Linked DNA regions of Danio rerio. The protein of the gene in region 2 binds, or shares a complex with, the protein of the main gene of each other region. Links are inferred from orthologs where the notes say so. Each region holds a gene or a part of one and is shown on either strand. Other genes may lie near its edges.

Region 1 (4,578 bases), on a different chromosome or scaffold from region 2:
TTTCACCACAGCGTCGGCAGACATCTTCCTGCCAATTATTGAAAAAGTTTGTTGAAAATTGGACGAGAAACACAGAAACCATTTTTCCAGCAGTTTGCAGTATTTTTTATTACAGCAAATTTGTTTTACTTAAAAAAACATCTGTGAAAGCATGTACGAAAAAATCTTATATTGCTGTGATTACCATCTTCTAGGCTAAAAGATGAAACCATTTTGAAAGATGTAAAAAGACAGTGACTGCTAGTCAGTTTTGAAGAAAACACGACACAGCAGGGTTAGTTGTAACAGGGTGTTACAATTAAGCCACACACTGTTGGACACCAATTAAACTAACTGAATATTTTTATTTTTTATTTTTGATAATGTAATGTTGAGAACTTTTTAAATAAACATGATTTTTTTATAGAAAATATATATTTTTTAATAGAAAAAATTAGTTTTATTGCTAATAATGCAAATAAACGCATTTTATAATAATGCAAAAAAAAAATCCAAATGTGTTCATTAAGTGGATAAATAAGTAAATAAACATGCTGTGCTATGTATAACACAAAATAAATTGAGCCAAGTACTGAGGAAATATAGCTACTATTTAAAGTAAACAGAAATTAAATTAACTGTGTGGAATCTGCCTTTGTAAGCATGCGTTACAACTTACCCTCTGTTTGTTACAACGTGCCCCACTGCTGGGGCAAATAGTAACATTTTTGCTCCTGGCACTTTTGGCAATACTGCACAGAAACTGTAGGAGACAGTTTGTGTGTTGTTGGTACAAAAAATGGTTTGTCTAAGCCCATTACTTTGTTCATTATTTGGCCAAAACCAAAAAGTGTTACTTTGTGCCCTGCTCTTCCCTATCCCAGGTCAGACGGTGCTTACTCCAGGTATATCAGTTTCTAAAAATCACAGCTGGTGGCAAGTTCAGTCAACTTAAGAATCTGCCAACCATAAACACACAAGACATTCTCAAAAGAATAGCAATTCCACAAGTCATGGGTGAGAAATTAATGCTAAAAAAAAAAAAAAAAAGAGCGCCTTTTATTTTTTCGTTGTTCTTGTTTAATGGCAAGTTACATTCTTTTAGCATATTGCCAACAAATTTGTGGCTGTGCAGACATTTTTAAAACCGTTTAGTTAAATGTTCAATCTTTATTAACTACTGTGTACAGGAATTATAATGTTAAAATCAATTGATTTACTTTGTTTAAACCCATCCGCATTAACTTTAAAAAAAGATGAATTACATCTATTAATTAGTAATACATATGCCATGCATTATATTGAAATGGTTCCATTGCTTTCATTACTTTTGATTGAATATCCATAATGATAGTGGCAAAAAATTAACCATTACTTAAAAACATTTACTTGATAATAGTGCTTTTTTTAAAATAATAAACCCCCAAAAACTCATAAGAAATCATATGCCTCTCTATAATTATATCCATACTACAAATATCAATGATTCAATGAATCACTCATTAAGACTTGCCGCCATCTATTGGTGGTTTTGAGTGATATTGATCCAAGACAGTTCTAAAGCAACCAAATGACCAGCACAAAATATTAATCCTTGATGAATTAAAATGAATGGAATACTTTCTGAGAAAGTCACACGCCAATTTGATAGTTTCAATACTTATTACACGTCACTATATATACACTTTAGTGACAACTGGTGTGTGTGGAAGAGGGAAGGTATAATGGGATGAATGACTTTCAAAGATTGTTGTTTAACTGACTTTCCCTCATTTAACTTTCTTAATTAATGTCATCGATTTCTGCAGATTGTTTTGTTGTCTCTCAAATCAAAAAATTCTCAAGATACATAGAAATAAGACAGATGCTGGTCAAGAAGCTTTCCTTACCCACAGTCAGACTCCAGGCACACTGTAGGACAGTCGGTGGCATCTTTGGTTAGAGAAGCAGCCTGCTTGGCCAGTACAGATACAACTCCTCCATGTTCATCAGATAGTGAGCCCCGGCCTGGAGATTAAAATATTTGTAATGTCATTGAGAATTACAGTATATTTTCAAGTTCTGGAAACCAAATGGAAAAGAGTCAACTGAGAATCTATATAAAGCACAATTCTATAACCCTATATTTTGTTGAAAAGTTTTAAATTGTATATTGTTTTGCACATGGTAATACACTGAAAAAGCAGGCTTAAAATGCTCAAGTTGAATTAATTTATCAGATTAATATTTTTAATACTACACATGCCATTATAGATTTTACTACTCAAACTATATCTATACATCATTTAATTTTACTTTACATTTTTTTTGCATAATTACATTTGAATAGGCTTGTATTTTCTCCCAGTTAACCATGTTTTTTTGTTTACCATTGTTTCAGTTAACTTTAAGTTGGTCAATAACACAGTTATAAAGTTGTCCACAGTAGACACCCGTTCCCTGTTTTGAGAAACAAATCAAACTAATAAAAATTCAAAACGTTTTACATACCTTCAACACATGTGTAAATATTAAAAGCAATATTAACCTCTTGTTGCAAGTGAAAACCCAGTACATGTAAACCAAGCAAATCATGGTCACCAGAGGAAAACTATACTAAGGGAAGTATTAAGGAAAATATAAAAATTACTTACACCCTAGATTATGTCCTTGAGCGTCTGTGCACAAAACCCCAACAATAGCTGGATTTTTCATCCTAGAGTGAGAAAGGAGATCAGTAAATGAAGACGCAAAACGAGTAACGTTACATGCGTAAGAAAAGAAAGTGGTTTCTTTTTAAACATACGTATCGTCAAGATGCTGCTCCAGTGCACCCTCCATAACAGCGTCCTAAATAAGGCTATTAAACTAATAAGAAACACGAAATGTTCAGAAACTGGCAGCGATGTTTGTTACTTGGATAACTTCCGGGATGTCAGCTGACAGTTTAACACGCGACTTAACACTACGGCGCCCTCTAAGGGACAACAAGCAAATAGGATCTAGCGCCATCTTACTCAAGTCAGGATGGTAGGTAAATGGTCCTCTTTTGTTTGCTGCTAAACCTCGACAAGTAGTCAGTCATACAATATAATTTTTTGGGTTAAACATTTTAATTAAACTAAAATGAACACACAAGACATTCTCAAAAGAATACCAATTATACCACAAGTCCCACAGGAGAAATAAATGCTAAGTAGAAGAGTGACTATTTCTGAACCAAAATGAAAAGCTTGAATTTATTAATATGCAGCTGTTGGAATAAATGAATGTTCCTGCAGCACTGCTATTGACTGATCACCTATAATTCAGAGTCTAGATCTTCTATATCCTCGTTTTTATGTTGAACAAATAATAAATTCTTTACAAACCATTCAATGCTCTAAAAAGCAAGTAGGCTACATGTGGTTAACATTTAGCTGGCATTGTCAATGAGAACTCCCAGAGGAACGTGTGAATCTTCGGTGTTGGTATCTCTCTAAATGACCTTGTCCCCTGACCAGACGCACAATAAAAGACCACCGTCAATTGTGTCTGAGCTCAAGCTCTTTATCAGACAGTCTTTTCCATTTTTAACTCAAGATATTGAAGCACTCTCTTTTATAGTTTGTGAGGTTGGTTTAAGAGCCGGGTTTGACATGAGACACATTTTTTCTCTGTCACATCCATTAACTATATGTTTGCTTAACTATATGCGAAGCATATTATAAAATATACTATTACACAAGTTGTGCAAAGTGCAAAGCATGAATCAGGTTAGCAAAGTCAATATACATGCAAATAAGCTGGCAGAATAATAGCTGCCTGTTTCTGCCTCTCTAGAGCCCATCAGAACAGTTTAATCTTTCCTGACTGGATGCAGCCTTATATTTGATGAATATCATTTTTATAGGGTTAATTTAATTCCTTAACTTCTGTCTATTGATGATCGATTTATTTTTATAAATATAGTTTCATTACAATATTATTATTTTTGCGTGTGGGTATATATATACATTTAAATATATATGGATTTTTAGACTACTGATTTTTGTGCAGTTTAAGTCTTTTAATAAGATATTTTGCTTAATTTATTTTACAGTTTTCCTTGGATTGCTTTCATGCAGCCGTCAACTGAAACTCCACATTTTTAAAACAGTTAAAACACAGGCCTAAACAGCGGCACTCATGGTCAAAATAACACATTTTGGTTGCAAAATGCACATGCCGTGTCAAAACATTTAAAATATGCAACAAAAGCTATTTTAACCTTCAAACAACACAACTTGCTAACAAGTATATGAGCTCTTTCAATTAACCATTACACAATGAACAACAAAATACAAAATACAGACCTCAGTGTGAATCAGTGCACCATTGCTTGCCATTGTAACCTATTGCCAATGCCATTTGTTGTCTTTTTATTTGGGCTGCCTTTTTGCAAAGAATTGGATCCAGAATAAGAAATGCCTTTATTAAATTTATGTTGAATTCATGACATTTTTTCAAACTGTGGCTTAAAACTGAAATACTGTTAAAAAAACAGACAAAAGTAATAAAATACTGTAAATATTAGAGAAAACATGTAAACCAATATACAGTCAAATCTATTGTGAGTAGGACATAGCCACTATTGACCTC
Region 2 (4,324 bases):
TGTAGCCAGCCTATTGTAAATAAGAGTGGTTCTTTTTTTCTGAAAAAGTGGACCTTTTTGCAGTTATTGTCGTCATTTAAGAACTAATCTTTGCTCCATAAGCTTGTTGGATGGTGATCATAACCACACTATTTTTGATGCACCAAAAATGTTTTCAATTTATATACAATTTAAATATTGTTATGTGATTATCATTAAAAAGTGAATATGAAAAAAACTTATTATCAAATTTATTATCCATCATTAAAAATAAAAATCTGGTAAAACTGGTTTAAAAAAATGGCATATAGGCAAATAACAAACTGGCTAGCTCATTCAACTTCCCTGTCAAAATTTGGCTACTTGAATAATTAAACATTTAATTTGTCTTAAAGCCTTTTCTATTGATCCTTTTCACAATTTATAATGGCATAGCAGTCAAAAATTTGATAATTTTTTCTATGGAGGACGAAACCTGCAAAAACAGTAATTAAATAAATACCCAAATAAATAAATAAATGAGTAAATAAATCCATAAATCCCTGCATAAATAAAATAATAAATAAATAAATGTGTGTAAAAATCCACAAATTTCTGCATAAACAAGTCTATACATAATTAATAGTGCGGGCAGGTAAATAACTAAATAAGTTACACGAGGGGAATAAGAAAAAGTTTATTTTAATTAACGTTTGAAAGAGAGGAAAAATAAACTTTTAATTTAGCATTTTCTTATTCCCCTCGTGTAATTTTTTTAGTTATTTACCTGCCCACACTATTAATTATTTAAATATTTATTTTAGCAGGAATTTGTGGATTGTTTATATACATTTATTTCTTTATTTGCATATTTATTTATTTAATGTTTTATTTAAGCGAGAATTTATGGATTCATTTACTCATTTATTTATAATTTGCGTATTTATTCATTTATTTATTTATTGTTTTTGCAGGTTTCGTCCTCCATACTTTTCTCAATGGTAGGCTACTTAAAGAACTAGATATTTATTTAAATACCATTAGGAGAGTACAAACAAAAAAGCTGTTATATCTGTTGACACATTTAAATTAGCAAGGCCTAGCATTATTTGTAATAGTTTGTCTATTTTATTATGTTTTACCTACTGTGTTGTTGTACTTTTATTACTCTATTATGTTTTTCATATTTGTTGCATGAATTAAAAAGCAGCTGCAGATACGCATGCGCACATCAATATATCACAGCATACGTTTTGCGACACTTCAACAATAATAATCGTTTTTACGTTACTGTGAGGGCAGACGTTAAGTAAAATAAAATTAAATAGGTAAAATTATGAAAAATACAATAATTCTCGTTAATTTGATCGTGACATTTTAACGGATATGACGTACACGGAAAAGCGTATGTATTTTGTCATGTGATGCTCGCACAGAAACGCAAGAGAAGAACTTTTATAAAGCGTTGAGTTCAGTTGATGGTAAGTCTGTTGCCTTTTGTGTATTATGACTTTAATAGATGCTTTCTGGGTTTATAACAGTTTCTGGATTAGACATGTCTGCAGTTAGTAAGTAACGTTAAACATGTTGCCAAAGATGCTGGTAAAATGCTGTTGTAATGTCGTATAATCTTCTACGAAAATTAACCATGGTTTTACTATAGTAAACGTGTAGGAATTATGGTTTATCTACGTATTGATTACCAATTTTTATACGTTAACTATAGCTTTATTACTGTTGCATGCTTAATTCGTGTTTACCTTGGATTAACTAAAGTTACCATGGTGTTTGCTTTTATTTGTAGTAAAACCATGGTTAATTTTCAATTAGGGTAAAGTTGGTTTTATTTTCACACATTTCGACATTCTCCTTAATAAAATAATTTCTGAAACGTATTCTTTGCAAATACTAAGTAGTGAAATCATATTAGCAGTCAACATCAGACTACACGATTGTTTTTAGTCAAATAAATAGTGGTAATGTTATTTTGAAGTCATTCTTACACATATTTTTCAGACCCAATGTTTTAAAGTACCATGGTAAACAATATATGGGACAAAATCAAGTTATCACTGAACGAATATGCAAATATAAAACCAAGTTTACCTCAATTTCCTATGTTGTTTACCATGGTACTTTGAATATTCAATCTGAAATCACGTGCAAGTATGACCAAAGACTATAGAACACATATAATACAGTATGCCTTAAAGGGACTTTGGTAGACTTGAAAACAACATTAGCACTATTTATTTGACTGTGAACAATGTTGTACTTTGATAGTCATAGGCTGCTAATATGATTTCACTATTTAGAATTTGGAAACAACACTTTTCTGAAGTTATACCATTAAGAAGAATGTGCGAATATAAAACCAACTTTACCTCAATTATTTTCATGCCATGTCCTTTACTTTTCAACTTTTTCCCTAGAGTGTGCTGCAGGCGACGTACATAATCAGTCCAATGAATATGGCAGATGTGAGTATATTTGTAAATTAATTTTCTGGTAGTGAATTTCTCATGAGTCTAATAATGTGTTTTGACTTGATTCTTGCAGAATCTCAGAAGCTATTTGTATAAACAACTACCAAGGTAAAGACATTCTTTTTGTATTTTAGACACATTTTATTTCATTCATTGCCAGATGTAATGAATGCTGATTTCTTTATTTTTAATCTGTCATCAGTGTTGAAGGACTTCATGCAATTGTGGTGACAGATAGAGATGGGGTCCCTGTAATCAAAGGTGAAAACCAGATCTCAGATTTTTACATTTTTGTGCATACTACTGGTCAAATGTATAAAAACAGTAAGATTTCCTTTACTTCATTTAATTAAAACATGAATGTAGCAACAACAAAAAAAAAGTTTATTCCTTTGAATCAAAGTTAAATTGTGAGTATCATTACTTTCTTTAGTCTTCAGTTGGGCTGCACGATATTAGAAAAATCAAGCATTGCGATAATTTTTTATTTTGCGATTTGAATACAGTTTCACCAGATTACTTGAATATCTCTATTTGGAAAGATTTTATAATATTAGATCGATTGGGATGATTCTGCAATGGGAGTGTATCTCCATAAAATACAATAATCTATAAACGTTTTGGGGCCCCTTACACATTTTTCATGTGGTCTGTGCTATTTGCAGAGCATTTCTGTATTTGCATGTGTTGTGAGTATTTTCATGCACATGTTTAATCAGCGATTGATGAATTAATGTTAACTATTTGTATCTCAATAAAATCGAATGAACAATCTATATACTTTTTGGGTCCCCCGACACATTTTCCATGTGGTTTGTGCTAGTTGCAATTCACTTCTGTATTTGCATGTGTTGTGAGTATTTTCATGCACAACAATCTATAATTGCAATCAAGAAAAAGATACAACTGAAAAAGTGTTTGATTGTTTCAGTATTTCCGTTTAAGAATTGAATTTATTGAAAGGGATAGCCCCTTGAGATGAATCATCTCATTTTCGAGGGGGTCCCTAAAAAGTTCATAAATCAAAGAGTACAACACATCATAACGTACATACACTTAACAAGACAAACTAACAATCAAACAAGCAGCACACTCCGCCTGAAACACTTCCCACAATCTTAAGCCTAAATAAACAAAAACATATAATCAAAAGTACTAACAATTTGATATACAAATAAATAATAAACATTTAATTTGGAGTCAATATTAATAACATTCGCAAGTTGTTTCCAAAAAAGAAAATAAATTAGCTCGAAAAGACTAAGTGATTTAATTGATCCAAAAAAAAGAAGGGAGATCGTTCCAGTCGGAAGGAGCTTTGTATCGAAAGGACCTACGGCCACTTTCTGTAGAAATTCTGGGAACAAAAAAATAATTCTGTTGCATATGACGAAGCGAATATGATGAGGTAAATGGAACAAAAAGCTGCTTTAAATAAAGAGGGGAAACTAAAATAAACACATTTAAAAAGAAACAAATACCAATGATACTGTCTGCAGAACTTAGGTTGAAGCAAACCAAGTGTTTCGTATAATATTGAATGTTGGGCTCTATAAGGACATCTTAAAACAAATTGACACAAAGAATTGAAGCAGTATTTAAAGGTTTTAAATTAACATCAGAGGTAATGTCATAAATAATATCAGCATAATCAATAATAGGAAAAATTAATTGAGAGATCAATTTTATTCTTACTTTAAATGAAAAACAATTAATAGAACGATAAAAAGAACCTAAGCAGCGATATGAATTTTTAATTATAAAATCAATTTAGTAAAAAATTCAGTTTGGTAACTGAATAATAAATATAAAAGTAGTTCTATAAAATTAACCATTATCAAAGTTACAAATGGTACTTAAACTTCTTACGCCTGAATGTG

What was found.
Region 1: lamtor3 (region 2) and lamtor5 share a complex: the UniProt entries of both Homo sapiens proteins name them as parts of the ragulator complex. The link is inferred for Danio rerio from reciprocal best matches to the Homo sapiens genes LAMTOR3 and LAMTOR5.

What each region holds. Positions count from the first base shown.
Region 1 is NC_133183.1:26,634,718-26,639,295, reverse strand, and holds the start of lamtor5 (ragulator complex protein LAMTOR5), read right to left. Parts: upstream 2,926-4,578; 5' UTR 2,800-2,925; coding exon 2,765-2,799; intron 2,675-2,764; coding exon 2,613-2,674; intron 1,987-2,612; coding exon 1,869-1,986; intron 1-1,868. UniProt on the Homo sapiens protein: As part of the Ragulator complex it is involved in amino acid sensing and activation of mTORC1, a signaling complex promoting cell growth in response to growth factors, energy levels, and amino acids.
Region 2 is NC_133188.1:12,902,951-12,907,274, reverse strand, and holds the start of lamtor3 (ragulator complex protein LAMTOR3), read left to right. Parts: upstream 1-1,366; 5' UTR 1,367-1,439; intron 1,440-2,390; exon of another isoform or gene 2,391-2,392; 5' UTR 2,393-2,429; coding exon 2,430-2,438; intron 2,439-2,517; coding exon 2,518-2,552; intron 2,553-2,646; coding exon 2,647-2,705; intron 2,706-4,324. UniProt on the Homo sapiens protein: As part of the Ragulator complex it is involved in amino acid sensing and activation of mTORC1, a signaling complex promoting cell growth in response to growth factors, energy levels, and amino acids.